3 linked regions of the Tamandua tetradactyla genome follow. The protein of the gene in region 2 purifies or fractionates together with the protein of the main gene of each other region. This does not show direct contact. Links are inferred from orthologs where the notes say so. Each region holds a gene or a part of one and is shown on either strand. Other genes may lie near its edges.

Region 1 (10,441 bases), on a different chromosome or scaffold from region 2:
AAGAAAAGTTGCTAGGGTGCTGAGAAATGCATTGGTTTGTTTTGAATTGAAGTCTTGTGATTTATTTGAAAAAACCTAGTGAACTTAATATCCCCAATTTACCAAGAGGAACACAATTAAACCAAGGAAATAGACAAGTCTAGCTTCTTAACAGTTGCAATGTGGAATATGAAAGGGTTTCGATGAACTCTTCTTATTCTGATACATTAATATCCCTTGGTTTATCATGCACTTCAAATGGATATTTTACTGATGCATGATTTTGTTACATCATTTGTTGGCAATCTGGAAAATACTGGTTCACTGAGTTATGCAGGTCTTCCAAATATCTATATACTTTACTACACAATATCAAAAATCACATTTGTTAATATCACCATCAAATTCATCCCAAAAGTCTTTGAATATTGGGAAGCCATCAAGTTTACAGTGCCACACACAAGTTTTCCAAAAAACTTCTAATTTTTGCTAGTCAGCACAAATTTTATCACTGGAAACAAATGCTGTCAGTTATTTTCTTTGAAGTGACAGGTTCAATAAGTTCCTTTTCCAGAATGTCCACCATATTCCAAGTGTGAATAGCTCCTAGCTTGTCAGTTAGTTGTTCTTTCAAGTAAAAATGGTATAACAAGGCAGCTATTTCAGCTTGTAATTTACACATTCACACAAGTGCTTTTCCTAGAGATAACTATTGTACTTTGGTATGTAGAAGTGCTTTATGCATACTTTCCATTTCCTCACAGAGAATATTAAAAAGAAGTGTATTCTTGTTGTTACTCTCCTACTCTTCAGAGTTCAGATTTGAGAGCTGAATAAAACATGGAAACCCCTTGAGAAGTATTAACATTGAACAACGATAAAATAAAATCAGAAGTCTTCATTTAAAAAAAATACATCCAAGGGTTGAGCTACAATAAATATAATTCTTACTGTTTCATCAGGAATATTCTTTTTTTCATATATATATTTATTAAATATAATCACATAAAAACACAACCATTCTTACCATATGTTCATTCCATTCTTGATATATAATCAATAACTCACAACATCATCACATAGTTGTATATTCATCATCATGATCATTTCTTAAAACATTTGCATCAAATTAAAACATTTGCATCAATTCAGAAAAAGAAATAAAAAGAAAACAGGAAAAAAATTCATACATACCATACCCCTTACCCCTCCCTTTCATTGATCAGTAGCATTTCAATCTACTAAATTTATTTTAACATTTGTTCCCCTTATTATTTATTTATTTTTAATCCATATGCTTTACTCGTCTGTCAATAAGGTAGATAAAAGAAGCATCAGATCGTTTTCACGATCATACAATCACATTGCAAAAGCTATATCATTATGCACTCATTTTCAAGAAACATGGCTATCAGAACATACCTCTACATTCTCAGGCAGTTCCCTCCAGCCTCTCCATTATACCTTAACTAAAAAGGTGATATCTATTTAATGCATAAGAATAACCTCCAGGATAACCTCCTCGACTCTGTTTGGAATCTCTCAGCCACTGACGCTTTATTTTGTCTCATTTCGCTCTTCCCCCTTTTGGTCGAGAAGGTTTTCTCAATTCTGATGTTGAGTCCCAGCTCATTCTAAGATTTCTGTCCCATGTTGCCAGGAAGATCCACACTCCTGGGAGTAATGTCCCACATAGAGAGGAGGAGGGCAGTGAGTTTGCTTGTTATGTTGGCCGAGAGAGAGAGAGGCCACATATGAGCAACAAAAGAGGTTCTCTTGGAGGTGACTCTTAGGCCTAATTTTATGTAGGCTTAGCCTATCCTTTGTGGGGTTAAGTTTCATATGAACAAACCCCAGATTGGGGGCTCAGCCTATTGTTTTGGTTGTTCCCACTGCTTGTGAGAATATCAAGAATTCTCCACTTGGGGAGGTTGAATTTACCCCCTTTCTCACCATTCCTCCAAAGGAAGCACATCTTTAAGTGAAACCGGCATTTTCTTTTTTTTCACTCCGTGTGGCAGGAAAGAATGCAATGACTACTAGTAAAGTTTGGTGTCACTGACTTGATTCATGCTAAGGCACCAGAAGTTTTACCCATCATTGCAGTGCAAATGACAAAACAGTGAAAAAGCAAATATCTTATTTGAAAATAAGATATTTTATTTGAATTTGTATTATTATGAAAAATAGTTTTGATCCCACAGACCCTCTGAAAGAATCTCAAGGACCCTTAGTGGTCTGTAGAACTTTTAAAAATGCTTTTCAAATAAAAGGATTATATCTTCTTTACTTGCATGCTTAAAACACATTTCAAACATGTGTTTGAAACAGAACTCTTGGTCCCCCACACCTCCTCAGCATGTTCCATTTCCTAGTCGCCTCCATTTCAATTAATAAAAAAATCTACAGAGCCTGCCCATATTAAAAAAAAAAAAAATTTACATAGCAGCTCAGGCCAAAATTCTTGTGGAGTCATCTTTGATTCTTTGTCCTTATCAAGAAATTCACTTCAGCAAGTCATCAGCAGTACCTCCAAAATATATCCCAAATTCATCTATTCCATCCCATGTCTACTTTTAACACCCCCTAATCTAAGCCACCAAAATGACATCATAGCCTTCCAACAGGCTGCTCTGCTCCCATTCTAGTCATGCCATCCACCCATTCATTCTCCACTGGCAGCCAGTGACCTTTATAAAACCAAAATTAGATTTTTCTCCCCTATTTAAAATCTTTCATTGGCATCCCTCTGTAGAAATAAAATCCTTTCTAAGGTCTGCAAGGCCCCACCTGGTCTGGACACTGCCTATTTCTCTGACCTCATCCGTTACAACTCTCCCCACTGCTCACTATTCTACAGTGTTAGTGGCCTTCATTTTGTTCCTTGAACATGCTCACGCTTAAAGCCTTAATAGTTGCTGTTCCCTCTACCTGGATTGTCCCAGATTTTCACCTGTCTAGCTCTGTCTCATTATTCATATCTCAACTCAAGGGTTATCTCCTCAGAGAGCCTTGGCTTAACTATTCTATTTAGAATAGGGCTTCCATCTTTTCCACTATCACACTGTGATGTTTATTTTCTGCTCCCTATTCACCCACCCCCCACTGGAATGCAACCCCCCAGCACCTCCTATAGGACAGAAGTTAATATGTTCAATAGCTTTTCTGAATGAATGGTTGACGTTAAGCCTCCATGGCACTCAAATGTGATTAAGTAGGGAATAGGTGCAAATAGTATAATGAAAACCACTGAGGATATGGAGTCAGATGACATAGATTTGAATATTCTCCTGCAACTCACTTATCTTTGCCTTTCTGCCTGGGAGTTTTTAATCGATGAAATAGGGATAATTAACCTTTCTACGTTAAAGAAAACTAGTGATGAACAACTGAAATAACACTTAAGTAGGTATTGTTCAAATTTTAACATAACAAGGTCTTTTGCGGGGTCGGCAAAGAGTGAGAGAGAAGAAGACTATGATGCTAGGATATTTCTGAGGAATGCGTGGCTCTGACGGGAACCTGGAGAGTTTCTTCCTGATAAGGCCTTTTCCCCTAACCATATAACTCCCACCATCCCCACCCTCCATCCTACCGAGCTCTCCCTTCACTCCTGTGTAAGCTAAGTTGCCCACTGCATCTTCCTTCCCTTCCTCCCCAACTCCGTCGAATGTCATTAACTACCTACCGCACAGGCCGCACCATGGTCCGTTCCAAGGATGCAAATCTGCAGGTCTCAAGTTCTCCTAGGAAGCACTGGCGGTTTCAACTCCCGCCTAAAACCGAAGAACGAAGCTCTCCGCCCACTGACAGTCAGTCCTCCAATCATTTCCCTAGTTTTGCGAAAGCGCATGCGCCCTGAGAAAATCTCATTTGTTCAGGCCCTTCCCAAGACAACTGCACTTCCGTATCCGGTCAACCCCAGCGGAGTTTGCGCTTTGCCCTTGCACTTTCGTGATGACAGTGACTTTTGCGCCGTCTCTGAAATACGCAATAACAGTAGAAATGCACCTTCCTAATTGAAGCAAGAAGAAATAAGTGGTGCTTAGATCTATGGGTTTTCCATCCAGTACCAGGGACGAGGAGGTGGTGTGGGGGAATCTGCCGACGGAACTGCTGGATGTAACAACGAGTAGGTAAAACAGCTGATATCCCTAGTGCCGAGGCTCGTGGACCACTCGGAGTGTGCCGATCGCTGAAGACTTCGGGACTAGACAAGGTGAGACTAAAGAACGAGGCCCTTCAGTCTGAAAACCCCTAAATGGGCTCCGTTGGCTGGAGTTTCTCGGCCCCGCAGCCCGCCTTCCTTTTCGCAGACGAATTTTACCCTCGGAACCTCTACTAAATTAACTGTATAAACTAGGTGCGGCCTTCCTCCCACAACATTTTTTTTTTTTACGGGAAGCCTATCTTGTTATCATCCCTGCTAAAACTGAGGCGAGGCTTTAGATAGTAAAAAAAAAAAAAGCGGAAAGGTATCACTTTGTTGGACTGCAATAAAATTTAATGTCCAACCGATCGAAACTAGAGCTAATGGTTTTTGCTTACCGAAAGTGTTGCGTTTGAACAAAATTATACCATAACACCATATTTTTATAACTTTCAATTTTCTACCACAGTATTCCTTTACTGCTTCTGCCTTGGTCATGTGCACACAGCTATTGGCCTATAGGCTCCCCCACCCCACCCCAATAGCTAATTATATTATTACTAGTTTCTATATTGATCATTTCATGTTTACCAGGTACTTCATATTATTTTATCAATCCTTATGACAGTCCTGCAAGTTAAATGCATTATCCCCGAATGACAGTTGCTCTGGCAGCAAGTAAATGGCAGAGTCAGAGTTCGGGCCATTTTACTGATAAATGAAAGATTCGTTCTCTTATCACTGCATTGACTGCCTTCAACAAATATTTGCCTAAAGTCAACTCTGTATGCAGTGGTTCAACTTTTGTTAAGACACAACTCTTGTTCTTAGGATTCTCACTGCCTAGTGAGGACATGGTACAGATGAAGCTGGGGATGTAACTGCGGATCAAATCATGGACACCCTTGTATGCCATGCTGGGAAGTTTGGGGAGGAGGCAGTGGTAAACACTCAGGAGTTTTAATGAAGGCAGTCTAAATTCTGGAGAGTTGGGAATGGTTGGTTTGCTGGGGGTAAGGAAACCTGTTAGGCTGTTTAATATAAAGTGAGTGTGAATGTCTCTTTAAAAAAAAAGTTTTTTAATCGTGAAATATAGCATACCTACAAAGAAAAGAAAGCAATAATTTTCAAAGAACTCCCTAATACCTTCAGTGACAGAACACCTTCTGTAACATGCAGCTGTGGAAGAGATTTCAGAGCCTATTATGGGCCACCATTCCGCCATTTCAGTTCCTCTCCCTGCTGCCCTTCCACCCCAACAGCTGCAAAACACTGGAAACTAGAAGGAATATTAATATACTGATTCAGCAATCATGCTTGTTTGTTAAATCCTGTTTCCTGTGTTATACCCCCTTCTCCTTTGATCCTTCTCCCATCTATAGGGATCTTTAGGCAATGCCCATTCTGACTTTTTCATGTTAAGGGGTTCAACACTAAAGGATAAGGGGATGTGTTCTAATTTGCTAGCTGCTGGAATGCAACATACCAGAATCAGAATGACTTTTTAAAAGGGGAATTTAGTAGTCGCTAGTTTACAGTTCTAAGTCCTAGAAAATGTCCAATTAAAACAAGTCAATAGAAATGTCCAGTCAAAGGCATCCAGGGAAAGATACCTTGGTTCAAGAAGGCCGATGAAGTTCAGGGTTTCTTTCTCAAGTGAGAAGGCACATGGTGAACACAGTCAGGGTTCCTCTCTCATCTGGAAGGGCACATGGTGAGCATGGCGTCATCTGCTAGCTTCTCTTGGCTTCTTGTTTCATGAAGCTCCCCAGGAGGCATTTTCCTTCTTCGTCTTCAAAGGTCGCTGGCTGGTGGACTCTGCTTCTTGTGGCTATGTCGTTCTGCTCTCTCTGAATCTCCCATTCTCCAAAATGTTTCCTCTTTTACAGGACTCCAGTAAACCAATCAAGACCTACCCAAATGGTCTTGACATGTCGTCACCTAATCCAGTTAAACAACCACTCTTGACTAAATCTCATCATCCAGGGAGATGATCTGATTACAGTTTCAAACATACAGTATTGCATAGGGATTATTCTGCTTTTATGAAATGGGATTTTGATTAAAACATGGTTTTTTAGGGGGCATACTTCCTTTCAAACCAGCACAGAATGTAATTAATTGATACTCTTGGAGAGGTTGGTCCCTCTGGGTTTCAGGACTTACTGGCCTAGCAACCCTCTTGAAATTATAGGTTCCAAGAAAACAAACAGTGCATGGAACTTTTATAGAGTTGGAGTTCGAGCCTAGGTGTTCTTAAGAGTTAACAGGAGTGACTTTGATTGGGGTTTAGCAAACCATGGCAACTAGCACCATCTAACTGAAGCTTGCATAAGAGTAGCCTCCAGAATAGCCTCTTGACTCTTTTTGATCTCTCTTAGCCACTGATACCTTATTTTATTACATTTCTTTTCCTCCGTTTGGTCAGGAAGGCAGTTGTCTATTCATGGTGCCAGGGCCAATCTCATTCCTTGGAGTCGTACCCCACATTGTCAGGGAGATTTTCACACCCCTGAATATCACCTCCCACATATTGGGAAGGGTGATGATCCTCCTTACAGAGTTGGGCCTAGAAAAAGAGAGAGAGAGGCCACATCTGAGCAACCAAAGAGGTTTCCTGGAAGCAACTCTTAGGCCTCATTATAAATATTCTTAGCTTCTCTGCTACAGAAATGAATTTCACAAGGACAATCCTCAAAATCAAGGGCTTGGCCTGTTTTCTTGGGAGTCCCCAGTGTTTGAGAGGGTACCTGGAGTTTCCCAGCTGGGAAAGTTTTTAATAGTTCCATGTTTTGGTTTTTTTTCCTTCACACTCTCAACCAATACTTTTTAATTATCAGCCAACCATAGTCCTGAGATGTATCCTGATATTACATTAAGCTATACAGAATTATAGGCCTTGTTTCCGTCCAGGACTCCAGGAATTTGGCTTGTTTAAATGAGCGGTACAAACAGGTTGATTTCGATTGTGTGCTACACAAAATTTAGATTCTAGACATAATAAACCTCTCTGCCTTTGGTCTTATACAGTAAGTGAAAGTCTAGAGTACAAAAACTATCATCTTTTACTCTGTATTCTGATTTACCTTAGCCCCAGCCAGATTGGCTTTGTTTTTATCTCTAATTGAGACCTGATCTCTTTTTTGGTTACTTTAATTGTTATAGTACATAGCTGTGCTAACTTTCAGGGCTCAGCACTCACATTTTTGTGTCTTACGTATCACAGTTACTTAGAGTTCCAGGGAAATACTGTCTGATACACATATAGCTCAGTGTCTCAGAATCTAGGAATATACTTACAACTTCAAACTAAGTGTGGCTGCTATAAGGGCTTACAAACTAGGCTCCATTTTTCTTATAAGTATTTTCTGAAAGAGACCTTAGCATATTTGTTCTTTTGTTTCTGGCTTATTTTGTACCACATTATCTCCAAGGTTTATTCAGTTCGTTGCATGCCTGTTGGTGTCCTTTTTTGTAGCCACACCATATTCTTTCCTATACATGTATCACAGTTTGCCATTCTTCTCAGTCATTGTATCCTTTAGTTCCCTTCCATAATGGGCGTCATAGATAATGCCCAAAATAAACAAACTATGTCTTATGGTATCCTCCCTGGGTTGTACAATCAACAGCATTCTCAATTTTGGACAAGTTTCATTTATCTTCAGCGACAAAGAACTGACACACAGCGTCACCAAATATCGAAATCAAAACTACCCCTTATCAATTGTACCTCCCCTGCAATTAGTTGTCCCTGGTAGTGCTGTGGTACTGTTGATGTCTTCTTGTTAACTATTGACCATATCATGCATTTTTAGTTTTCCCTCTGTACCTCTTTACTATTAACTCTTTGTTCAATGTCAAATCTTTGAAATAGTTCATGCGAGAACTTACTTATAATTGTAGATTTACTCAGTGGGATATATGGGCACTATACATTCCCTTTTAATCATATTCACCTTCAATATAGCAAAGTTACTTATAATGCCACAAATTAGTTACTGTCACTTCTATCTGTTTTTCAGTACCCATGTTCTGTCCCAGTTCAGTGGATTTGGGAACCTTATCGAAGATCAGTTGTCCATATTTTGGTGGTCTGTCCCTGTACTCTCAATTCAGTTCCATTGGTCAATACTATCTTTGTGCTAGCATCATGCTGTTTTGACCACTGTGGTTTTATAGTAATCTTTAAAGCCTACTACTTCGCTCTTCTTTTTTAAGGATATCTTTAGCTATTCAGGGTCTCTTTACCTTACAATTAATTTGAGAACTAGCTTTTCCAAATCTTCAAAATAGGTTATTGGGATTTTGATTGATTTTGCATTGAATCTGTAGCTCATTTTGTGTAGAATTGACATCTTAACAACAGTCAACCTTCCTATCCATGAGAATGCAATGCCTTTCTATCTATTTAGGTCATTTTTAATTTCTTTTAGCAATGTTTTGTAGTTCTCTATGTACAAGTCTTGACATCCCTGGTTGGACGTATTCCTTTATACCTGATTCTTTAGATAGCTATTTTCAATGGAATTTTTTCCTTAATTGTTTCCTCAGATAGGTCATTACTTGTGTTTGGAATTTTACTGATTTTTATACATTAATCTTATATTCCACCACTTTTCTGAATTTGTTTATTAGCTCAGATAGCTTTCTCATAAATTTCTCAGGGTTCTCTAAGTATAGGATCATGTCATCTGCAAATAAAAATTTTTGCTTCTTCCTTTCCTCTTTGAATGCATTTTATTTCTTTCTCCTGTCTAATTGCTTTAGCTAGGATTTCTAGTACAGTGTTGAATAATAGTGGTAACAATGGGTATCCTTGTCTCATTTCCAATCTTAAATGTTTTCAGTCTCTCACCGTTAAGTATGATGCTGGCTATGGGCTTTTCATATAGGCCCTTTATGATATTGAGTAAGTTTCCTTCGATTCCTAACTTTTGAAGTGTTTTTTCAGGCCAGGATGCTGAATGTTGTTGAATGCTTTTTTCAGCATCAATCGATAATGATCATGTGCTTTTTCCCTTTCACTTTGTTAAGGTGATATATTACGTTGATTGACTTTCTTGTATTGAACAGCCTTTGTGTTCCTGGTGTAAACCCTACTTAGTTATGATGTATAATTCTTTTAATGTGTCATCGGATTTGATTTGCTAGTATTTTGTTGAGAATTTTGGAAGCTGTGTTCATTAGGAAGGCTGGTCTGTAGTTTTCTTTTCTTGTAGCATCTTTATCTGGTTTTGGTATTGGAGTGTTGTTAGCTTTATTTAACATTCTTTTTTCCTCATTTTTTTTTAAGAATTTGAGCAGAATTAGTGTTAGTTATTTTGGAATGTTTGATAAAATTCCCCTGTGAAGCCATCCTAGTCCTGGGCTTTTCTTTTTGGGAAGATTTTTGGTAACTGGCTGAATCTCTTTACTTATAATTGGTTTGTTGAGAACTGCTATTTCTTCTCAAGTCAGTGTAGGTAGGTCATGTGTTTTTAGGAATTTGTCCATTTCATTTAAGTTGTCTAGTTTGTTGGCAAATAGTTGTTCATAGTATTCTCTTCTGATTTTTTTATTCTTCAGGATCCATAGTAATAAAGTAATAACGCCTATCTCATTTCTGATTTTGTTTATTTGTATCCTCTCTCTCTCTCTCTCTCTCTCTCTTTTTGTCATTCTAGCTAGTGGCCTACCAATTTTATTGATTTCACAAAGAACCAATTTTTGGTTTTGTTGATTCTTTCTATTGTTTTTTGTTGTTGAGCTGTTAAATCCTCGATTTTTGCTCTTTCTTTTTAAATATAGGCATTCAGGGCAATAAATTTCCCTTTCAGCACTGCCTTTGCTGCATCCCATGAGTTCTGATATGTTGTAATCTCACAATCATTCATCTCCAAATATTTACTGATTTCTCTAGCAATTTCTTCTTTAACCCACTGATTGTTTAAAAGTAGATTGTTTAAACAAAAAGAAAAATTTGCATGAGGGAGAACAAATGAATGTCAATATTGCAGGATGTTAAAAATATATGATATATAGGAACAAGTACAGTCAATGCAAGCTAAGGTTTTTAGTCAACAGTAACATTGTAATATGCTTCCACTGAATGTATCAAAGGCATTATGCCAAAACTAAATGTCAACAGGTGGGGGTGGGGTGGGGTGGGGTGGGGGGGAGGACAGGCAGAGCCTGGGGAAGGGATATGGATTATTTGTGAAAGAAAAAGAAATGTCTTCAGATAGATTACAGTGGTGAAGGCATGTCTGTACACTTAGGTTGGGTTGTATGATGTGTGAATAAAACTTTAAAAATGGACAGAGAGAAATA
Region 2 (10,533 bases):
TTAGTACATGTCAAAGAAAAATATGTCAAACACTGATAATTTCCAAATCCGAATTTTCCTCTCTAATACTGCAGACAATGGCTTTCTGTTCATATTTCTTTTTCAACTGGATTGATTTTTTAAGTATTCTAAAAGGCAGAATTGCAAATAAAAATAAGACACTGTATAGCCTGCCTTCTCCAAAACCAGGAGTTGGTAAAAAATGGCCCGTCAGCCAAATCTAGCCCAAAGTCTGTTTTCGTAAACAGTTTTAGAAATACATACACCCGCTCACTTATTATACATTATGTATTGTCTATGGCTGTTTTTCATGCTATCATGACAGAGGTGAGTGGTTAGAACAGAGACAAGATGGCCCACAAAGCCTTTTAAAATACAGGCCATCTGGACCTCTAGAGAAAAAATTTGCTAAAACATTTACCATCTGGACTTCTAGAGAAAAAGTATGCTAAAACATTTAGCCCCTGGACCGCTGGAGAAAAAGTTTGCTGAACCCCTCTAGAGAAAAAGTAGCATTAACACTGAATTTTTTATTAGCCATCCTATATAAAAAGTAACTCATCTTCGACATAAGGCTAATTTGTAAGGCTCTCTCATTGAGAAGGCAGGATTTGGCATTATTTTAATTACTTTAAAAAGCCTTGAAGATTAAAAACTATCCCCAAGTTGGGAATCAGAATCGGAAGTAAGGACTATAATGTGCTCTGAATAGGTCTGGCATGACTTGGTATTTGGCAGGAAGAGGAGTTTGGTAGTAGTAGACATTTGTTAGTTGCCTCTCCATTCCCCACTTCTGTTCCCGATATTATCTTTTGGTGAACAAATCCTAGGAGAAATTGTGCAGGTGCTACTTAAGGGACTCTATTACCCTGGGTGCTGTGGTGGGAGGACATGAGGTCTGGAATAGGTACAGCCACCATGCCATCAATAGAAGAGAGGCCTGGAGTTGGGAGAGAAAACTTGTATGCACCCCAATGGTAAAGCTGACTTAACGTCACTTCTTAGAGTAGAGAATTGCAGTGAGCCTGCCGGATCAAGCTTTGCACGAAACTAGCATTACTTATTGAATTTTCCTTTACATGAAGTAATATATGTCTTTATTACGTGGGCCTGATTGAGTTAGATTTTGGATCATTTCCCACTAAAATAACCCTTACAGAAGGTCAAGGAGTTATATTCTTGAACCATCACTAAGTATTAGAGCATAGTTGTTGTTTCTAAACCTGTGTATACTGGTTACTGTTATTCAACTTCTCTCCAACAATTCTGAACCAGGTGAGAGAAAAGGCCATGGGAGAATGAGTAATGGAACAAAGAGAACAACCAACACACTCATCATAAAACTAAGAGAACCATAAAGGACTGCCAGAGAGTAAAAAGGCTTGCTTTCATGTTACCAGGAAAGACGCTGCACCATATAGCTGAATTTGCATATTTAATTGACTGATCATATTTCTGACAGTCACTAATCTATCCTCACCCTTATATTCACTTTCAGTCCCTTTAGATTTAGATGGTAGGACAATTACTAATACTTTATATATATGTCATTATGTTTGTAGCGAACAAGCAGTATGTTTGCATGCCTCTCCCTGGTAGTCTAATTATTTAGCAATTATTATAAGTTTCAATGATTCTTTTCGGCTTACAAGTTGGCAAAGGAACTTAGGGCTACTGCTTCCAGGTCCAAGACACTGACAGCCAAGAGACAAAATACATTTATACTTCTAAGTACTCAGACTTTTTTCAAGCAGGAAAGATTGTTTATTTATAAAAAGCATATAATATGCTGTAAAAAGTTCAAAAATATAAAGGTGCATATATTTTAAAGTTAAAAAGTATCTTATATTCTGCCCTACCCATAATCACATAATCCAATACTGCCAGAGATAATCACCATTAATATTCTTCCAGGCTTTTAAAATACATTATTTCCTTTGGAGAAATGGAGCCATGCTAAATTGATGTGCTTTTTAGACTTCTGGATATCTTTCCTTTTCCTTGCACACAAATCTAGCTTATCTTGTTAACACTGCGAATTAATCCACCATATGGACATACAATAACTTGTCTGCCAATTCCCTACTGATGGACATTTAGATTTGTTCAGTTTTTCACAATGACAACATTCCTACAATAAACCCCCCTTCCCAAAAAGATGATGACGTATGGGTATATACGTATTTTTGTAGAGCAAAGTTTTAGAAAAGGAACTGATGGGAGATGGACTGTACATTTAAAATATTGATAAATAGCAAGTCACAGAACAATGTATACTATGGCTCCACTTATAATAAAACAAAGAACAGAAATCAGGTACATATATTCAGTGGTTCTCAACTAGGGGCAATTTGTACACCCCCACTTACCCCTTAAATGTTTAGAGAAATTTTGCGTTGTCACAACTGAGAACTGCTACTAGCATCTGGTAGGTCAAGGTCAAGGATGATGATTAACATCCTACAACACACAGGAGAGCCACCCACAACAAAGAATGATCAGCCCAAGATGTCAACAGCATGCAGGTTGAGAAATGCTGGTCTAGGATTATTTACCACATTGCTCACAGTAGCTTTCTTTGAAGTGTGGAGGACAATTTTCATTTACACTTTTTTGTATTATTTGTATTTTTTTCCCAATGAACACATACTAGTTTATAAAACACTTCCATAAACAAACAAAATTTATGTCTCATGTCAAGAGAAAATCAATCTCTGTGGCTTTTCTCCCTATATTGGCGACAAGTTCTGAATGCAGATAACAAAGCTCCCTAAATATTCTCTAGTGAAAACTAACCTTAATTTTTCACAGAAAATAGTCTCAAGTCATTTCATCAACCTGGTTGCTATATTGAGAAAAAAGGTGTTAAATTTTGAGCCAGAAATTCTAGTGTTGTACTCTGACCAGTAAAGAGTAGAGCTATCACCTTCCTCATTCTACATATGCTGGCTCACATTCAGCTTATTACAACGAACTGTTTCTCCACACATACTCAACTAATTCACACCTTCCTTGTGTACTTTGTGTACTTTAACAATTGTCTTTCTATTTTTTTGCATGGGCAGGTACCTGGAATGGAACCCGGGTCTCCAGCATGGCAGGCGAGAATTCTGCCACAGAGCCACGATTGCTCGCCCTACAACTATCTTTCAAGAGCTGATTATCCCCATTTCAGTCTCTAGAATAATACCATCAGCTCCTAAAGTCCTCAAAGGTATCCATTAGTGCTGCCTAAATACTTAATTATTGTGACCCACTGGGAGCCAGTTACATATAATTATTTCAGGCAGTCCAGTTAGAATTAGTTAAGTTACAATTTGAGTTACATTCCACTCAAGAGGAGACACCCTCAGCACCTGGTTTGGATTCTGATGTTACTTAAATATTATCACTAATGCATTTAAAAATCACCTAATAGGTTAAACTACTTTAGATTCTTATTAGTTCCACTCAACTCAACAAACATCTAATGAGTGCTCAGGACACTGTACTGATCAGTGAGACAAAAGCAAAACAAAATGAAACAAAGATGTGAACTGCCCCAGAGACTTTATGGCCTCCAACCTTTTCCTGAACTTATTTTACTGAAAGAACCCGTATCTTGACTATCAATTAAACACTCACTGATTGCAACCTGCAGAATGTGTTTTTATCAAGCAAGCCTGGGTGTTTTACTTATTCCTGTCCCCTCTAGAACCTCTGCACATGTTGGGGCCCAAAGTGTAAGGTCAATAAACGTTCAGTGAAATAATGAACTATGCCGTCACTACTACATAAAATATACTTGCAGGTAAATACCTGTAATAGGGCTTTTAATCTCTGTGTCGCTTAAAATAATAGAGCACAACTTTTAAATGTACACAAAACTAAAGTCATGAGAGCATAAAGCACAGAAAGGTTAGACAACTCTTAATGCTTGGATAATGAACTACAGAAATAGAAAGAAAAAAAAGATTCCAGGATACACAGTGAAAATGAAGAAATAACTAAATTCCAAAACAAGTAAAATTGTAATTTTCCCAGTAACTCCAGCACATTTCCATGCCATTTCCTCTTCAACCGGTGGAAAGCTCCCACTTGAGAGGAGGCCGGAGGGTGGTGGGGGGAGGGGGAATAGAGGTTCCCACGTGTGGACTCCTCAGAAAGCCCGCAGGGCCACCCGCGCTCCGCCACGCCCCCGCTCAGGCCCTCTCACTCCTCCGCCGCCTGCCGGCCAGGAAATGTCCAGAGGCCTCTGATCCGAGTTGGATAGGGCAAAGTGCTTCGGGGAAAGGCAGGGGGAGGGGAGACAGGTGGGCGGGGAGCAAGCCCATCTCGACTCCGCAGACCCAGGCCTACCGGACAGCGGACGACCGGTAATTGCAGGGATTGAACCCCATAACCCGAGGGTTCCAGGACTGGACTAGACGGTCCAAGCTGGTCGACCCCCGCCCCTTCCTCAAGCCGTTAGCGCCGCAGCCCCACCCCTCGCCTCCGGCCGCGCCCCGTTCCACTCGCCCGAAACCGCTACACTTATCAGCCGTGGCCCATGGTATATGCTCGCAGGAGGTGACCCCGGGACTGCCAACCACGTCTGGGAGGTCGAGGAGCTGAGCTCCCATACCTGCACTTTCCTCCGCCCTGCCGTGTTCTGCCGGTGATGGGCCGCCATCTTGCATGTTGACACTCCTACGTCACTTCCGAAAGTTGACCGGTTCAGGCGGATGTTCCGCCCCTTTCCTTTCTCCAAAGGCAGGTGGAGGGCTGAGGGCAGGGAGGTGGGGTCTTCTGTGGGTGCGGTTCTTTTCTGAAGTTGGTAGCCCTGTAGTGTATTAGATGCGTTTAAGAACGAATTCGTTGTACGAATATACGGTTGGTGGAAGGAGAATCACCTTTCTGAGCCGAGGGAGCAATTCGAATCAGGCTCTCTGTGGCCCCAAACCTTGGCTTTTGCCACTCTCTGATGCTGCTTACTCCAGAGACCCCGGCAGGTCTAGGAGAGCTCTGAAAGAATAAGACTAGATTTGCGCGGTTGGACGCTCCCCCTGCAAACTTTCCTAGGCAGTCAAGTGGACCGACCGGCTTGTCGTGAAGTATCTAAAAAACTGACCTTGAGGGAGGAGATATAGAAGCCGTTGCAAAGGAGGCGGTCTTCATCTTCAAGAGAAGCAAAATATCTATTTAAGTAAAGGAAATAAAAAACTGATACGGGAAGGCGAAGAGGACACACCCGCTAATATTGTTCCCAGAGACAACTTTCGTAATTCCAAACTGAAGGAGTTAGGGCTCACTCTGGTATCTAGTCTAAATCATCTCAAGCTGGGACATTTAGACCCTTCTGGATGAGAATTTTGCTTGAGGAGGTCTTCCTGACACTAATTATAGGAGCAGAGAGTGGTCAGGCACTTTGCTGTGAAAGTGAATCCTATAGAACTACGCAGTCCCATATGGTATCCACTAGCTACACGTGGCCATTGAGTCCTTGAAATATGACTAGTTCAAATTGAGATGTGCTGTAATTATAAAAAATAAACTGAACAAAGAGTGTAAAAAAATGTTGACATCATGTTAAAAGGGTTTTTTAATATGTTAAGTTCAAATATATTACTAAAATTAATCTTTTTACTTTTCCAATGTGACTACTACAATATTTAAAATAACATGCAGCTCACATATTTCTACTGAATAGTGTTAATATATAAATAATACTTAGGAAAGCTCTCGTCTTGACAAATGGCTTTTAAAAAATTTTTTAATCAGTAAGGAAATATGAATTAAGGAGTAGAAACTGACGGCAGAATGCTTCTTAAGCAGAACTGACAGTGATAACTTATAGGTGAATTATCTGGACTGCATTTTATTACAGACTCATTCATTCATTTATTTATATTCAACAAAGTTTTTAAAATTATTTTTTTAAAGCACTTATTAAATGCTAGGCATAACATTAGATACTGAAGATACAGGAACTTAGGGTTCAGCCTCGGAGCATAGAGAGCAAAAAGGGAGGAGTGTGCAGAGGCCACAACCAGTAGGGTCTTTCAGACTGATGGAAAGCTATTGGAGGGATTTAAGCAGGGGAGGAACATGATCTGCAGTTTTTAGAAAAATGTGTTGAGCAGCCAAGATGTGCAAGGCATTTTGTTCTACACAATATGCTGGTACATGGCAGAAATGGATTGTAATTTTGATGTTGCCTGCTCAGTGATAACCCTGACAAATATTGAATTTGTGAAATCTAGTTTTATAAAGGGGATTTATGAATTTACAAATTTACAGGTCTAAGGCCTTAAAAATGTCCAGACTGAGGTGTCCAGATAAGGATACCTTGATGCCAAAGAGAGTCCTTGTTCATCCTTGTTCCCAGTTCCTTTGCTTCTAGCTTCTGATTCCAATGGCTTCCTCTCTAAGCATCTGTGGATCTTCACTTAGCTTCTCCAGGGCAAAATGGTGGGTTCTCACTTAGCATCTTTTGGGAAGGCTCATGGTGATATCTGCTGGACTGTGCATCTTCAAACATCCATGTCTATGTGTCCATTCTCTCTGTCACACTCCAAGCATCTCTAAATGTCTGCATCTAAGCTCCTCTAAAATGTTTGTTCTTCAAAAGGACTCCAGTATACTAATCAAGACCCACTTTGAATGGGTGGACCCACATTTCCATCTTATCAGAAGGTTGCACCCACAATTGGGTGTGTCACATATCCATGGAAACAGCCTAATTAAGAGTTTCCACCCTAAACAATAGGTCTGCTTCCATAAGATTGGTCTAGGATAAAGAACTTGGCTTTTTAGGGTACATAGCTTCAAACCAGCATAGAACACAAAGGATGTGCTCAGTGTTAGAAATCTATGGCAAATTAGTGAATAACATAGTATCCTGTGGAGTTCATGACTTCCTCTATCATTTGTACAACCAAGATTTTCTTTGTTTTATAAAATAATATTCCTTTTGAACAGATAATTACCCCCTTGTCATGGTCAGGTTCATGTGTCAACTTGGCCAGGTGGTGGTGCCCGATTGTCTGTTTGGGCAAGTTCTGGCCTGTCTGTTGCTATGGGAATGTTTCACAGACTTAAATCATGATTAGGTAGACTACATCCACAGCTGATTGCATTTGTAATCAGTTAGGGGAGTGCCTTCTGCAATGTGTGATGTTTAATCTAATCACTGGAAGGCTTTTAGGGAGGATTCAGAAGAGACACATTTTGACTACTAAAAATAGGCCCCCAGCTCAGCTGAACTGCAAGTAAAACCTGAGGTTGCTGATTTTTGCCTTGGCACAGAGGGGGTCTGTGATAATGGAAAAAAAAAGTTTTTTTGATCAGATAGCACAAAATACTTGAAAGGGTTTGGGCCCTGAAGAAAAGGAGGGGGCACATAGGACCTGGAGATACATAGAGCAATGTACCAACTTAGGCTCTTGATTGGCAAATCCAAGGAATGGGGGTCCTGCTCTGAAAAGGATTTCTTTTTCTTTTCTTTTTTTGTGGCTGTGTTTCTATGGCTTGACTGCTCTTTGGATACAGCTGCAGGGCTTCTCAGGCTCCAACTGCTAAAGGCATGGGCAGAACTAAGCTTGTTTAAGAGTTTGTCTGTAGGCTGTGCCTTCTCCAGGAGAGAGGTGGGGCGTAGCTCAGGTGGAATCCCTCCCTCAAGGAATTCAGACCCCAGGGTCTGGAAAATTGAAGTGATTAAAGCAAGCCTACAACTTCTCCTCTGTCTCAACCATGCCCCAGCAGGGAGAATCTGCTGAAGTTAAAGGTACCATGTCACCTTATGCTGGTGGGACCCGCAGGCAGACAAGAACCACATACCAGGCAGGATTGGAAAAACACAGAGTCCAGAGGCTTCATAGAAAGTCTTTCAACCTGCTGGGTCTCACCCTCAGGGAAAACTGACACAGGTGACTCATGAAAGGAGGCCAGTTTGGTCTGAGGAAATCTGACTGGATCTATAATACCTAAGTAGACCTTCCTAAGGAGAAAAAAAAAGGCATCATACAGCAGAACAAGAAACAAGAAAACAAGAACTGAAAAACTCTGATCTGTTAAACAAAACCTAAGCTAGAGGTCTAGAATAATCTGAACTGAATGTCAAAGAACAGATAGACAACAAAGTCATCCAGCAGGAAAATCCTAGGTAAAAAAAAGTGAAAACAATCTCCAGAATAAACTAATTAAGGAAATTAAATGCCTAGACACCAGCAAAAAATAAAAGATTATACTAAGAAAATTGAAGATATGGCCCAGTCAAAAGAACAAACCAACAATTCAAATAAGATGCAGGAGTTGAAGAAATTGATTCAGAATGTTCAAACAGACATAGAAAACCTCACCAAAAATGAAATCAATGAATTGAGGGAGAATATAAAGAAGGCAAGGAATGAACAAAGAGAAGAAATGGTAAGTCTAAAAAAACAAATCACAGAACTTATGGGAGTGAAAGGCACAGTAGAAGAGATGAAAAAAAAACAATGGAAACCTACAATGTTAGATTTCAAGAGGCAGAAGATAAGAGTAGTGAAGTGGGGGGTGTGACATCTGAAATCTGATAAGCAAAAGAAAATATAGGGGAAAAAATGGAAAAATATGAGCAGAGACTCAGGGAATTGAATGACAACATGAAGCGCATGAGTATACATGTTGTGGGTGTCCCAGAAGGAGAAGAGGAGGGAAAAGGAGGAGAAAAACTAATGGAGAAAATTATCACTAAAAAATTTCCAACTCTTGTGAAAGACTTAAAATCACAGATCCAAGAATTACAGCATACCACAAACAGAATAGATCCAAATAGACATACTCCAAGACACTTAGTAATCAGAATGTCAGACGTCAAAGAGAAAGAGAATCTTGAAAGCAGCAAGAGAAAAGAGCCATCACATACAAGGGAAGCCCAATAAGACTATGTGCAGATTTCTCAGCAGAAGCCATGGAGGTGAGAAGACAGTGGTATGATATATTTAAGATACTAAAAGAGAAAAACTGCCTACCAAGAGTTCTATATCCAGCAAAACTGTCCTTCAAAAATGAGGGAGAACTTAAAACATTTTCAGACAAAAAAATTCGCTGAGAGAATTTGTGACCAAGAGACTAGCTCTGCAAGAAATATTTAAAAGAGCACTAGAGACAGATAGGAAGACAGGAGAAAGAGGTGTGAAGAGCATAGAAATGAAGACTATCATTAAAGGTGAAAAGAAGAGAAATTAGATATGATATATAAAATCCAAAAGGCAAAATGTTAGAAGAAAGTACTGCCCATAAAGTAATAACACTAAATGTTAATGAATTAAACTCCCCCAATCAAAAGACAAAGACTGGCAGAATGGATTAGAAAATGGGACCCATCTATATGCTGTCTACAGGAGATACGTCTTAGACCCAAGGATAAACATAGGTTGAAAGTGAAAGGTTGGGAAAAGATATTTCATGAAAACAACAATCAGAAAAGACCAAGAGCAGCTATACTAATATCCAACGAATTAGACTTCAAATGTGAAACAAAAGAGACAAAGAAGGACACTATATATTAATAAAAGGAACAATTCAACAAAAAACTTAACAAGGGCAGGCCACAGTGGCTCAGCGGCAAGAATGCTTGACTGCCATGCCAGAGGACCCCAGTTCAATTCCCAGTGCCTGCCCATGTAAAAAAAAAAAGCTTAACAATCATAAATATTTATGCACTGTTCTAGTTTGCTAGCTGCTGAAATGCAAAATACCAGAAAAAGAATGGCTTTTAAAAAGGGGAATTTAGAGTCAGGCGAGCGCGCTCGGCGGTATCTGCTGCGGCTGTCGTCATGGTTCGTCCGCTGAACTGCATCGTCGCTGTGTCCCAGAACATGGGCATCGGCAAGAATGGAGACCTGCCCTGGCCTCCACTCAGGAATGAGTTCAAGTATTTCCAGAGAATGACCACAACCTCCTCAGTAGAAGGTAAACAGAATTTGGTGATTATGGGTAGAAAGACCTGGTTCTCCATCCCTGAGAAGAATCGGCCTTTAAAGGACAGAATTAACTTAGTTCTCAGTAGAGAACTCAAGGAACCCCCTCAAGGAGCACATTTTCTTTCCAAAAGTTTGGATGATGCCTTAAAACTTATTGAGCAACCAGAATTAGCAAATAAAGTAGACATGGTTTGGATAGTGGGAGGCAGTTCTGTTTATCAAGAAGCCATGAATCAGCCAGGCCATCTTAGACTGTTTGTGACAAGGATCATGCAGGAATTTGAAAGTGACACATTTTTTCCAGAAATTGATGTAGAGAAATATAAACTTCTTCCAGAATACCCAGGTATTCTTTCTGATGTCCAGGAGGAAAAAGGCATTAAGTACAAATTTGAAGTTTATGAAAAGAATGATTAATGTGAAGATGTTTCCTGGGTTAATTCAATTTGTTTCCTCCCCCCCCCCCAAAAAAAATCAGGTATTTTTACATTAGAAAAAAAGATTTTTGTTAACTTTAAATCTATAGATGATTGTTTCTAAGCAGGGTGATTTTAGCATTTGTGAAATATTTCTTGCTACAACTGTTTTAATGCCCATCCCTCCAGGG
Region 3 (10,361 bases), on a different chromosome or scaffold from region 2:
GCTCTCACACCAGAGAACATCAGTCACTGGGGAGCAGGGAAGCACTGCTCCAAATCATGTGCTATTTTTTCACCAAAAAATCAGGGTAATGTCAAATATAGACAGAGGCCCAGGGCCTAGTACATAAAGAGCAAACTCCATCTCTGAGGGGAACAGGCTGCTTGGAGAAATGGAGAGGGGGGCATTCTGCCTCCCTCAGTGATTCCCACTCCCTTCTTCAGCACCCAGGAAACCCTGACCCTGTGTTTCTCACCCCTCCAGGGTCTCTTCACCTCCAGATCAGAGAAAGGGAGAGGGGAGGAGAAAGGACACCGAAGGCCCCAGCCCAGGGGAAGGAGCTGTACTGGGAAAGGGGTGGCCACCCACTTATAACCATTCAGGCCTCCAGCTGGGACAGGGAGTGAGGAGGGACAGAGGTTGGGCTCCTCTGCAGTAGGTGAAAGGAAACTTGGGTAGCCTGGGTGGTGTCGGGGCGTAGTTATGGAAACGGCAAGCAAACTGATTAGGGGGTGAGTGCTGGGCACAGTGGGCAAGCTGTGCAGGGTCCAGGCTGAGAAAAGTCCACGGCCCTAGATACCCCAGGAAGTAGACCTGGGACCCTGCACAGCTGAGCCTGGGGTGGCAGAAAGCACTATTAAGGCAAAATATGCCATCCAGAGTGGAGGGTAGAGGGGGATGGAGGTGACCTGGGGTTCTGAATTCTCCCCTTCCCCTTAGCACTGTTCTGGGGCTCTCAAAGCTCAGGTGCAGCTCACAAACCAGTTACCGATAGAGGGAGTGGGGATGGGGAAGGGACAAACAGGGGCTCAGAAAGGGGCAGTTCCGACCCCTCTTTCACGGCACCCTGGGAATGTGGCATGAACATGCAGGGCCTGCCTGGGCTAAAGCCATGGGAATCTGTCCTATTTAGCAGCCATGACCAAAGGTGCCTGCTGCCAGGCACCCTGGAGGATTTCCCAGCTGCTCCCCACCCCCCACCTCCCATGCCCTGGAGAAGATCTAGCCCACTTAAGGGTCACTCAAAGTGCCCCCTCCCTGTGGGAAAAGGAGCCTTTGGAAGCAGGCCAGCACTGACCCCAGGGACAGAGCCCCAGGGCTAGTCCCTACCCCACCTCCTAAGTCACATGGCCCAAGCTCACAGCCCTCACAGACCTGCTTCCCTCTTTCACTTCTGCAAAGTTGGAGTGGGGGCTCCAGGCAGGATGGAGGAAGGGCTGCAGTTCCCTGCACCTTCGTTTTGGGAAGTTCCTGGCTCCCCCTCCCTCTGTTCAGCCTTCCTCACCCTATCCTGAGTCAAGGGGAGGGAACGTAGGGAGGGCACCCACCCCAGAATAGGTTAGGACAAATGTGAGGGAGGGCTCCCTCGAGGACAAGGGCGCGCGCGCAGGCGCACACACACTTTTCTACCGCTCAAACCTTGGGCACTGGCAGTGCCAGCCTTTGGAGGAAAGCTTGGCTGGGGGAGGGAGGGAATGCAGGTGTCCCCCAGACCCGATAGGGCAGGACGGGTGCGACCGGAGGGCTGGGAGGGCCTGCAGGGGAGGAACCTGAGGGCAGGTCCGGGCAGGCCACCCCAGCCCCAGGTCTGAAAACCGTCCCTCCCTGACAGACAGTTGGTACGCCCCCCTCAGGGTGGTAACTTCTGAGAAGGGGGCTGGGTGGCAGGGGCTGACTCAGCCTGCCAAGGCCAGCTGGCGGGGCGGGGGCGACGACGCGCACGTGGCAGGGGCGGCGCGGGGGCGGGGAGTGGGGGCTCACTCACTTGGATGGGGGCCGTGCTGAAATGGATCTTGCGGCTCGGGGCCGGGTCTTCTTCCTCCGAGAGTCCCGGGATCTCCACGCACCCCGACTCGGGTTCATAGGGAGGCTCCCCATCCTCCTCGTCCTCTTCGTCGTCCTCCTCCAGGGCACTGCCCCCAGAGTCCTCCCCGAGCCCACTGTAGGCGCTCACGTCCACCAAGTCCGCCTCCGAGAAGTCCTCCTTCTTGGACTCATCCACCTCCTCGGAGGCCACGTCCAAGGCCCGGTCACTGCCCACCCCCTTCTCTGGCGCCGCCAACACCGCCGCCTCCTCCTCCTCGGAGGCCGCTTGGGCCTTCTGCTCCTCAGGCGCAGGGCTGGCTGTGGTTGCCACGGTGCTGCCATTCTCCAGGGCCGCGTGGACCGTCACTTCAGCCTGGATCACTTCCCCGGGCGCCGCCTCGGCCTCCGACTCCCCACTCTCCTCCACCTCCACAGGCTTAATCTTGCGCACCTCCCGGGGCTTGGGGGGCGGCCGGGTAGGGGCCACTCGGTGCTGCTGAGGCTGTTGCCCTCCCGGGCCGCGCTCCTTCTCGGCCTGGGCATCCCCCGACGGGGCGGGCGGGGGCGGCGGGGGCTGGAACACCCGGGACCGCTTACTGACCAGCTTCGAGTTGACTTGGGGGGGGCCGGCGGTCGAGCCCCTGGGGGGCCCGGGCCCACGGTGGAGGCCGGTCCTCAAGTCGGCCTTCTCGAAGACGGCGCTCAGCTGGCTGACCGTCGGCGACACGGCCTCGGCGTCCAGCTTGTCCAACGCCTCGGTGCTGCCGTTGAAGCGCACTACGACGTCCAGCTTCCGGTCCTGCAGGCCGGCGCGCTCCTGCCTCAGCAGCCGCCGCGCTGCGGCCTCCTTGTCGCCGCCGGTGGCCGCCGGGACGCTCCGTTCGAACAGCTTCCGCGTCTCCTGCAGCCGGGACGGCGGGTGCGGCGGCGGCGCCGGCTGCGCAGAGGGCGCGGGCTTGGAGTCGAAGCGGCTCACGCGCTCCGACACGCTGGTGCCCAGCTTGAGCAGGGCGCTGTGGTCCACGTTCTCGTTCAGGCTGCTGGCCCGCGGCAGCGACAGGCGCACGCCGCGCTCGGGCGCCCGCGGGGCCTCAGCTGGGCCGGCGCCGCCGCCCGCCTCGCCCGGCGGCCCCGCCGTGGTGCCCATCTGCAGGAACATACTTTTGATGCGGTGGACGTTGGAGCCATATTTCTTGTGGTGGGCCGCCTTGGGAGCCTCGTCGGGCCCGGGCGCGTCCGGAGGCTTCAGTGCCTGGATGCCCGCCTCGTAGGCGCTGCGGTGCGGGGAGGCGCTCCGGAGGGGACCCCCGGGCCCCCGCGGCTCTGTCTTCATCATGGTGGGGGGAGCCGGGTTCGCATGCCCCCGCTCCCCGCTCCCCCCCTCCAACAGGCTGCCGGCCAAGTCGGGACCACCGTCCCCCTCCTCCCCAAAAAGAAACCCCGAGAGGTCTTTTTTACGTTCCCCCTGAAACCAAGCTGCCAAAAACAGTTAGCCGTGCTTTAAAAAAAAGGAAAAAATATCTCCGCGCGCCCTGTGTGGGTCGCCTCCCCCAATCAAGCTGCCGAGACAGTCAGACCCTCTTAAAAAGCCCAAGCGGCCTGGTACGCTCGCCCCCACCCAAAATAGACAAGCAGCGGCCGGGGCCGGGGGAACCGCGCGCCCTGCCCGCGAAGCAGCCGAGGCGGTGCCGGCTCACATCGTCCGAGGCGGTGTCAGCGGGGCTGGCAGCCCCGGCGCCCCCCACCCCGGCCGGGGATCTCCGCTCCCGGGGGACCGGGCACCCCGGCGCCCATGGCTTGCTCCGCCGGCCCGGGCCGCTCCTCCGCCGCGCCTCCCTCCCTCCCTCCCTCCCCCCCGCGCCCCGAGCCTCGGTCTTTCTCTCGTTCTGCCCGAGCGGCGGCTGCCGGAGACCGAGCGGTTACCCTTCTCACCGCCGCCGCTGGGGGACTGGCACCTCTGGGTCCTAAAGGGATAGGATTTCCGGGACCAGAGTCTGTGAGCCCTCCCCTTCCCCTCGGGCCGAAAGAATCCCCTCCCCTGCCCGTCCTTCGCCTTCCGCTGCCCCCAGGCTCTGGCCGATTCTCATCCACACTTCCGTCCCAGCCTCTAGCTGAGGCTGTTTCAACCCACACACCCCCTACTTAATCTTGGGGCGAGGGGGGTTAAGCTAGCCACAGGGGTGAGGCGCCCTCCACCCCAAAGTGAAATAGGGGACAAGTAGGGAAGAATCATTTCCTTCAAGGTCCTTAGAACTCCCTAGAGTGGTTCAAAGTCATAAGTATCAAAATCACTGGATGTTTGAGGGGGAGCATATTTCTGGGCCCTCCCCCAAACTCTGTCTCTCAAATCTCAGAGGGTGGGCCCGGGAATCTGCATTTTCACAATTTTCACAAGGGACTCTTCTGTTCAGATGTGAAATCTTGGCCCAGAGTTGCTGGCCTGGGGATGGAGGTGGATAGGGAAACTGAGACATGAGTTGGCCTCCGTTACCTGAAGGGCACCTTTGCCCTTTGGAAATCCAAAGAGGTGTGCCTGTCACCTGCCTGTTCTGCAGCCCAGGCTGGACTAGAAGGGGCAGAATTCCTGTCTTCATGCTCTTAAGTGGGGCACACTTGCCCCTCAAATAGGAATGGGGGGGCGGTTGGAGGAGCAATTCTAGAGGCCCCGATTTCCCCACCGAGAATTCTACCTGGGGTCTCTGATCTAGCTAGGGGAGGTGTGTCTCCTGGCCAGTGTGTGTATGTCTGTGACCCACATAGCCCATGACCTGTCAACTCAGAAAGCTATTCTGATGTCCCCCCGTTCCTCACCCACACAACCGGGGGCCCGGAGTCTCCCTCTACCCTCCCCATCTGCCCTGGTCCTAGGGGTGACAGTCCACCTGCAAGACTATGTTTGATGCGAACAGGGTCCCTTTGCTCCACAGATACCAGATTAGAATGAACAGAGTGGACCCTAGGACCCAGAGAACAACCGAGGCACAAAGCCTTCCCCCCTCCCAGCTGCTTCCTGCATCTCAGGCCTTCCTGAGGCCTCTGCCTCCTCCCCCGCCCTCTTCCCCTCCATCCTCTTCCTCCTCTTCCCGACTCCCACAGGCCTGGAATGGCTGGCGAAGGGAATCCTCCCACCTCAGCACTGCAGGGGCGTGTGTGTGGTTTTTTTTAAAGTATTAACCTGTTAGCATGAGCAAAGGAGCGCTGTACTGGGTAGGGATGGGGCGGGGTAACTGCCTGGGAACCAAGCATAGTGGGATGAGGGGGGCCAGGAACCACGGGACTAGATCCTGAGGCTGGGCTAAGGGGGAGGGATGATTTGGGTTCTGAGCCAGAGGGCCGGAAATGAACCCAGACCTCTGGCTTTCCGATACCATCTGTCTCTTTTTTGCCTGGTTGCCTGGGAAACTGCCCCTCCCCAGTTTTGCACTTTGGAATAGGATAGCGTAAAGACAGGACACCATCCCCAGGTTGCCCTCCCTCCCTTTCAGGAACAAGCTCTGTGACTCTGGTTTCCAAACTCAAGGATGGGACTGGAAGCCACCCCCCTTCCCAAGGGTCCCCCAACCCCCCCATGGGTGGGCAGAGAAATCTCACCCAGTTGGAGGTTGAAGGGTTGGGCAGAGTGTCCCCAGAAGCTCTTGTGTGGGTTGGAGGAGGGCACAAGCCCCTGGGTGCTTTGCCCAGAATCTCCCACACCCTTTGTGATGAGTCATCTTAACTGGTCCTAGCCCAAGGGGTCTGTGCCCACGCCTTTGGCCAGGTGGGAAAGCCCTTAGCCTGTGAGGGTGGGAGGAAGAGCTGAGATCCAGCTGTCAGGCCCAAAGACCTGGGGTCCCCCCAACATCTTTTGTAGCAGCTTGGCATGAACTAGAACAATTGGGATGCCCTGGTCTCCGTTGTCCTGAGGCTTCCAAGGGTAAAACCCCTTTTAAGTGCTTTGGGATGCAAGAGAGAGGAGCTGGCCCAGAGCTTGAGTGACTGAGGCTAATGAGTGGGATTATCATTTCATGGGCTCCTGGTCAACTCAATGACACCCCCAGCCAGAATTCCTAAAGAAGCTTTTACAGAGCAGTAAGTGCTTTACTGCAACTACTTCCCAGGAGCCAGGCACCAAGCTGGCTGGTGATGGGTGGGGAAAGGGTGTCTTCTCCTCCAGGCCCTCCCTTCCTGACTGGGGAGGGGGGGGGGGCAAGGGGTGGTGGCTGCATTTGGGAGGATTATGATAAAAACCGAAGGGTTTTAACTTAATTTTAATTTCCTTGAGCTATAATGCTCACCTCCTTCCTCAGGATAATTTAACCACCTTTCCTCTTTCCAGTATCCTTTTGGAGGAGGCCTAATTGCCTGTGGTCATTTTTGGATGGAAGTTCCTTTCCTACCTTTGCCTTGGGACCTGTGCTAGAGTAGTTCCCAAAATGGACCCAGGAGCCACATGCACTAGCTGTGTGACCCCTCCAAGAGGAACAAACCGAGGCCCGGAGAGATGGAAGTGATGGGAACAACAAAAGATAGGGTGGGAGGGGAAGGAGGCATCTTTGCCAGTCTTGGTCAAAAGGCCTAAGGTCTCCGTAGGCAGAGATAATTCCTTCAACCCTTCTCCTAGTAAAGTCCCTCCCCATTTTCCCACACCCCTAGGTCCAGTTAGGGCCCTCTGGGAAGATGCCCTTTTAGGGTTGTTCCTCGAAGCCTGCAAGTTTTAAACACCAGGTGTGACTGCAAAAGCTGGGAGAGACCTGATCTGTGATAAGTCTCAAGCCCTCAGCACCTTGGGCTCATGCCCGGGCTTGGTGCCCAGGTTGGCTTCTCTTCCCAACTCTAGGCCCAAGAGACTTAGCCTCCAAAAGTGGCATTCCTACTGCCTCAGTCAACTGAGCCGAGTCCTAGGCCCTGCCCTATAGCCTGGGCAGTGGAGCCAGTGGTCTCCCCCTAAGCTCTGCTCTCCATGGGTCCTCTGTCAAGAGTGGGAGATACAACGATGCCGGAAAGGCATGCACATATGTACACGCTTACATGCGGAAGAACTCAGATGTCAGTGTGGGAGGGGCCTTTAGTGGCCCTTGAATGTCCCCTTCACAGTTGCATGCTTGAAGCAGAACAGAACATGAGCTCTGAAGCCAGACCGTGTTTGTCAGAATGCCTACCTGCTGCTTCCCAGCTAAAGGACTTACACTAATTTCTTTTTCTGTAAAATGGAAATAATTATCAACCTCAGAGAAATGAGGATTAAGTGAGTTCAAAATGCATAAAGCACTTAGACCAGGTCCAAGCAGACAGTAGGAGCTTAGAGTATCAGCTGTTACTGCACCCATATCTGAACATGAATAAGTGTTGTGTGTGCATGCGTGCACATGACTGGGCAAGTGTGGCAGAGAATGAACATCAGTGTTTGCACTTTTAAGTGTGTCTTCACAGCATTCTGGGCCTCTTGCTTCCTTCCAAGGTCCATTATAAGAGATCCTGAAATAGAAGGATCCGCTACCTGTGACTTCACCAGATCTTTTGGGATCACCCCTGGAAAGATGGATCTCTACCTCCCAAAGGGTTTTTCGTTCCTACCTCTTGGTGTCTCAAGTTCTTCTTTATCCCTGCAGAGGCAATTATGTAAAAAATTGATCTAACATACCCCCCCCCCCCCCCCCCCCCCCCCGGCTCCCTAGCTGGAAGCTTGCCCTGCTGCCTTTCTAAAGTCACTCCAGTGCTTCTTGAAAAGCTGGGATACATCTTGGAGGGTTGGGAGTAAGAAGGAAGAGTTGGAGTGTGAGTGTGTCATACATATGTGTGTTGTGTGCCTTTGGGCTGTGCATGTGTGTGTTGGGGGTGGGGAAAGGGGTGGGACAGAGATGATTTCTCCAAATCATCAGTTGCTTTAAAAGAAAGCCTATATTTAGCAGGGCTTAGAGGGCCTGTAAAAATGTACTTTGCAACACAGACAGCAGTACCTGTGGGAGCTCCAGAGATATGCAGGGAGGTCAAAGAAAAGAACATATCCAGAAAGACTGAGCAATATATCTTGTGATCAGAAGATTCAAAGAACTCTTTCTACTGCTGACCTGAACTGCTCTGAATACTCATATCTGTGATTTGATGGTTTCCATGTTTGCTCCGCCCTTTGGATCTTGTGCACTGGGCACCTGAGGAGGGCACTAACTTTGAAAGCCACCTTCTTCCACCAGCTTCTGCTTCACCTGCCCTGGGCCCCAGGAAAGAGCATCCTGTTCCTGCCAGTGCCCAGCCTGCCCGGTTCCACTACACTCCTCTAGGCTGGCGAGGCACCTGGCACAGGCACAGCTTCAGCAACGGCAGCTCTCAGGTTTCCTCCTCTCAGCCCCTTGCACTTGAGGGTGGCCTTGGTGGGGGGTGGGACTGAGGTTAATCCTACCCCTTCAGGAAAGTTCTATTTTAGAGAACCTGAAAAAATATATATATATGTATATACTTTTTAACTTTTTTATTAAAATATTTTTGAAAAAATAAGTTCGGAGACTCATATAACAAACTCTATTTACAAATGCCGGCATTTTGTCTTTTTGCTTCAGGTTTTTTCATATAGAAGAAATAGAACATTAGCATTTGAGCTGATGTCCCCTTTCTCTTTCTCCCCAGTCCCGTTGCCCTCCCTCCTCACTCTCACCAATTTGGAATGCATCCTTTCTAATCCATAATTGTGTATTTTTCCTACACATTTAAGTACTTGTAAAGCAGCATATCGACGGTTTCTGTATTTAAAAAATTTACATGATGACCATTATATCATGAGTATCATTTTGTCTGTTTCTCACTCCATGTGCTTTTCACAATGGAGTCGCATGAGTAATCTACATGGCTTTGGTCTGTTCATTTTAGCTTCTGTTTAGTATTTTACCATATGAACAAGTCGCAATTTATTTACCAGTCAGTCTCTCTACTGACAGACACCTCGGCTTTATCTCACTCTCTCTCTCTTTTCTTCCCACTGCTGTAAGAAGGGCTGCAATAAACATCCTAGAAGCAGAAAGCTGGGGCTGTAGAGCAGGCAAGTTTTCAGCTTGACTAGTACTGCCAAACTGTGCTCCTCAGCGGCTGAACGAGTTTATGTTCTCAGCACCAGCATTTGTACAAGACGTCCTGTTTGACCACATCCTTGCCAATACTTGCCCTTGTCAGACTTTTTATTTTTGCCAGTCGGGTGGGTATGAAATAGCTATCTCATCTAAATCTGCATCCCTGCCTATGAAGTCAAGCATCCTATCAGGCTTGTTGGCCATCTGGGTTTCCTCCGTCACGAATCGCTTTTGTCCATATCCTTTGCTATCCTATTGCAGCTTTTGGTGCAAGTTACAGAAAGCCTAACTAGAAGTGGCTTAAGCCAAAGGGAAATTTTATCTCATATAACAGGACATGTCAGTGTAGGCTAAATTCAAAAGGTGAGCTGTGACATCAAGGGCCAGGTTCTAATCTCTCTGCAATAGCTTCCTCTTCATGCTGGTTTTCTCATACACTTGTCCCCTCATGGTCCCAAGATGGCTGCCTCAGTTCCAGGCATATCATGTAGACAACAGTGTCTGGAGACAGAAGAGAGGGGTTGTTTTCAATGGGTTTGCTTTAACAATGGGAATTTATTGTCTCAAGGTTTTGGAGACTGGAAGGATTGCTTCTTTCCAGGGTCAGGAGCATTTTGGAGGGCTGGCAATCCTTGGCATTCATGGCTTCCTCATCACATGGCATGGCTCTCTCCTTTCTCTTCTGGGTTCTGCTGGCTTCTGGTTCCTCCTTGTGTCTCTCTCTTTACAAGGCCTCCAGTCCTAGGATTAAGACTCATTCTGATTCTGTCGGCCACACCTTAACTAAAAATAACATCTTCAAAAGGTCTTGTTTATAATGGTTCACACCCACAGGAATAGGGTTAAGACTAAGAACATTTTTTTTCTTATCATGCTATATTTAGACTAATCACAGTTCACTTAATGGGGCTGAGGAAGGCCCAGTGCTCCCTAAAACACAGACCCTGAATAAAATTGGGGTTCTATTAGAGAGGGAAAAGGGGCAGAATGCCACTTGGGGCAGCACTCAAAAGCTGTGTTGTTTTCTTATTGATTTCTAGGAGATCTTTATATATTTTGGATACTAACCTTTTATCTGTTTTATATGCCCTCAACATTGCCTTCCAGACTGGGCTTGTCTTTTACCTTTGTTTATATTGTTTGCACAGCAGAGGGTTATTAAAATATATAGTAAAATTGATCCATTTTTATGAGTTGTCTCCTTTCTAAGAAATGCTTTCCTACCAGAGATCGCCTACATTTTCTTCTAATTATCTTAAAGTTTTGTGCTTAGCTTTCAGGTCTTAATCCATCTGGAATTGGTATTTGTGGAAGAATGGTGTGAAGTTTTTTCACAAAAAAGCCAATTGTCACAACACTGTTTATTGAGTAGTCTCTCTCATTGAGTTGCCATGCCACCACCATCATAAATCAAATTCCCACATATGCTTGGATCTGTTTCTGGGCACTCTATTCTATTGATCTCTTTGTCTGGCCCTGCACCAACACCACATTGTTTTAATTACCATTGCTTTCAAATAA

What was found.
Region 1: the proteins of WDR48 (region 2) and RAD51AP1 purify together in Homo sapiens (affinity purification with mass spectrometry; 5 studies listed by BioGRID and IntAct, counting the BioPlex papers as one, with this or other methods). This does not show direct contact. The link is inferred for Tamandua tetradactyla from reciprocal best matches to the Homo sapiens genes WDR48 and RAD51AP1.
Region 3: the proteins of WDR48 (region 2) and PPP1R9B purify together in Homo sapiens (affinity purification with mass spectrometry; 3 studies listed by BioGRID and IntAct, with this or other methods). This does not show direct contact. The link is inferred for Tamandua tetradactyla from reciprocal best matches to the Homo sapiens genes WDR48 and PPP1R9B.

Annotation. Positions count from the first base shown.
Region 1 is NC_135333.1:66,777,487-66,787,927, reverse strand, and holds the start of RAD51AP1 (RAD51-associated protein 1), read right to left. Parts: upstream 3,835-10,441; 5' UTR 3,685-3,834; coding exon 3,668-3,684; intron 1-3,667. UniProt on the Homo sapiens protein: Structure-specific DNA-binding protein involved in DNA repair by promoting RAD51-mediated homologous recombination.
Region 2 is NC_135341.1:48,173,290-48,183,822, forward strand, and holds the start of WDR48 (WD repeat-containing protein 48), read right to left. Parts: upstream 4,730-10,533; 5' UTR 4,652-4,729; coding exon 4,604-4,651; intron 1-4,603. UniProt on the Homo sapiens protein: Regulator of deubiquitinating complexes, which acts as a strong activator of USP1, USP12 and USP46. Enhances the USP1-mediated deubiquitination of FANCD2; USP1 being almost inactive by itself.
Region 3 is NC_135332.1:31,295,241-31,305,601, forward strand, and holds the start of PPP1R9B (neurabin-2), read right to left. Parts: upstream 3,785-10,361; 5' UTR 3,140-3,784; coding exon 1,763-3,139; intron 1-1,762. UniProt on the Homo sapiens protein: Seems to act as a scaffold protein in multiple signaling pathways. Modulates excitatory synaptic transmission and dendritic spine morphology. Binds to actin filaments (F-actin) and shows cross-linking activity. Binds along the sides of the F-actin.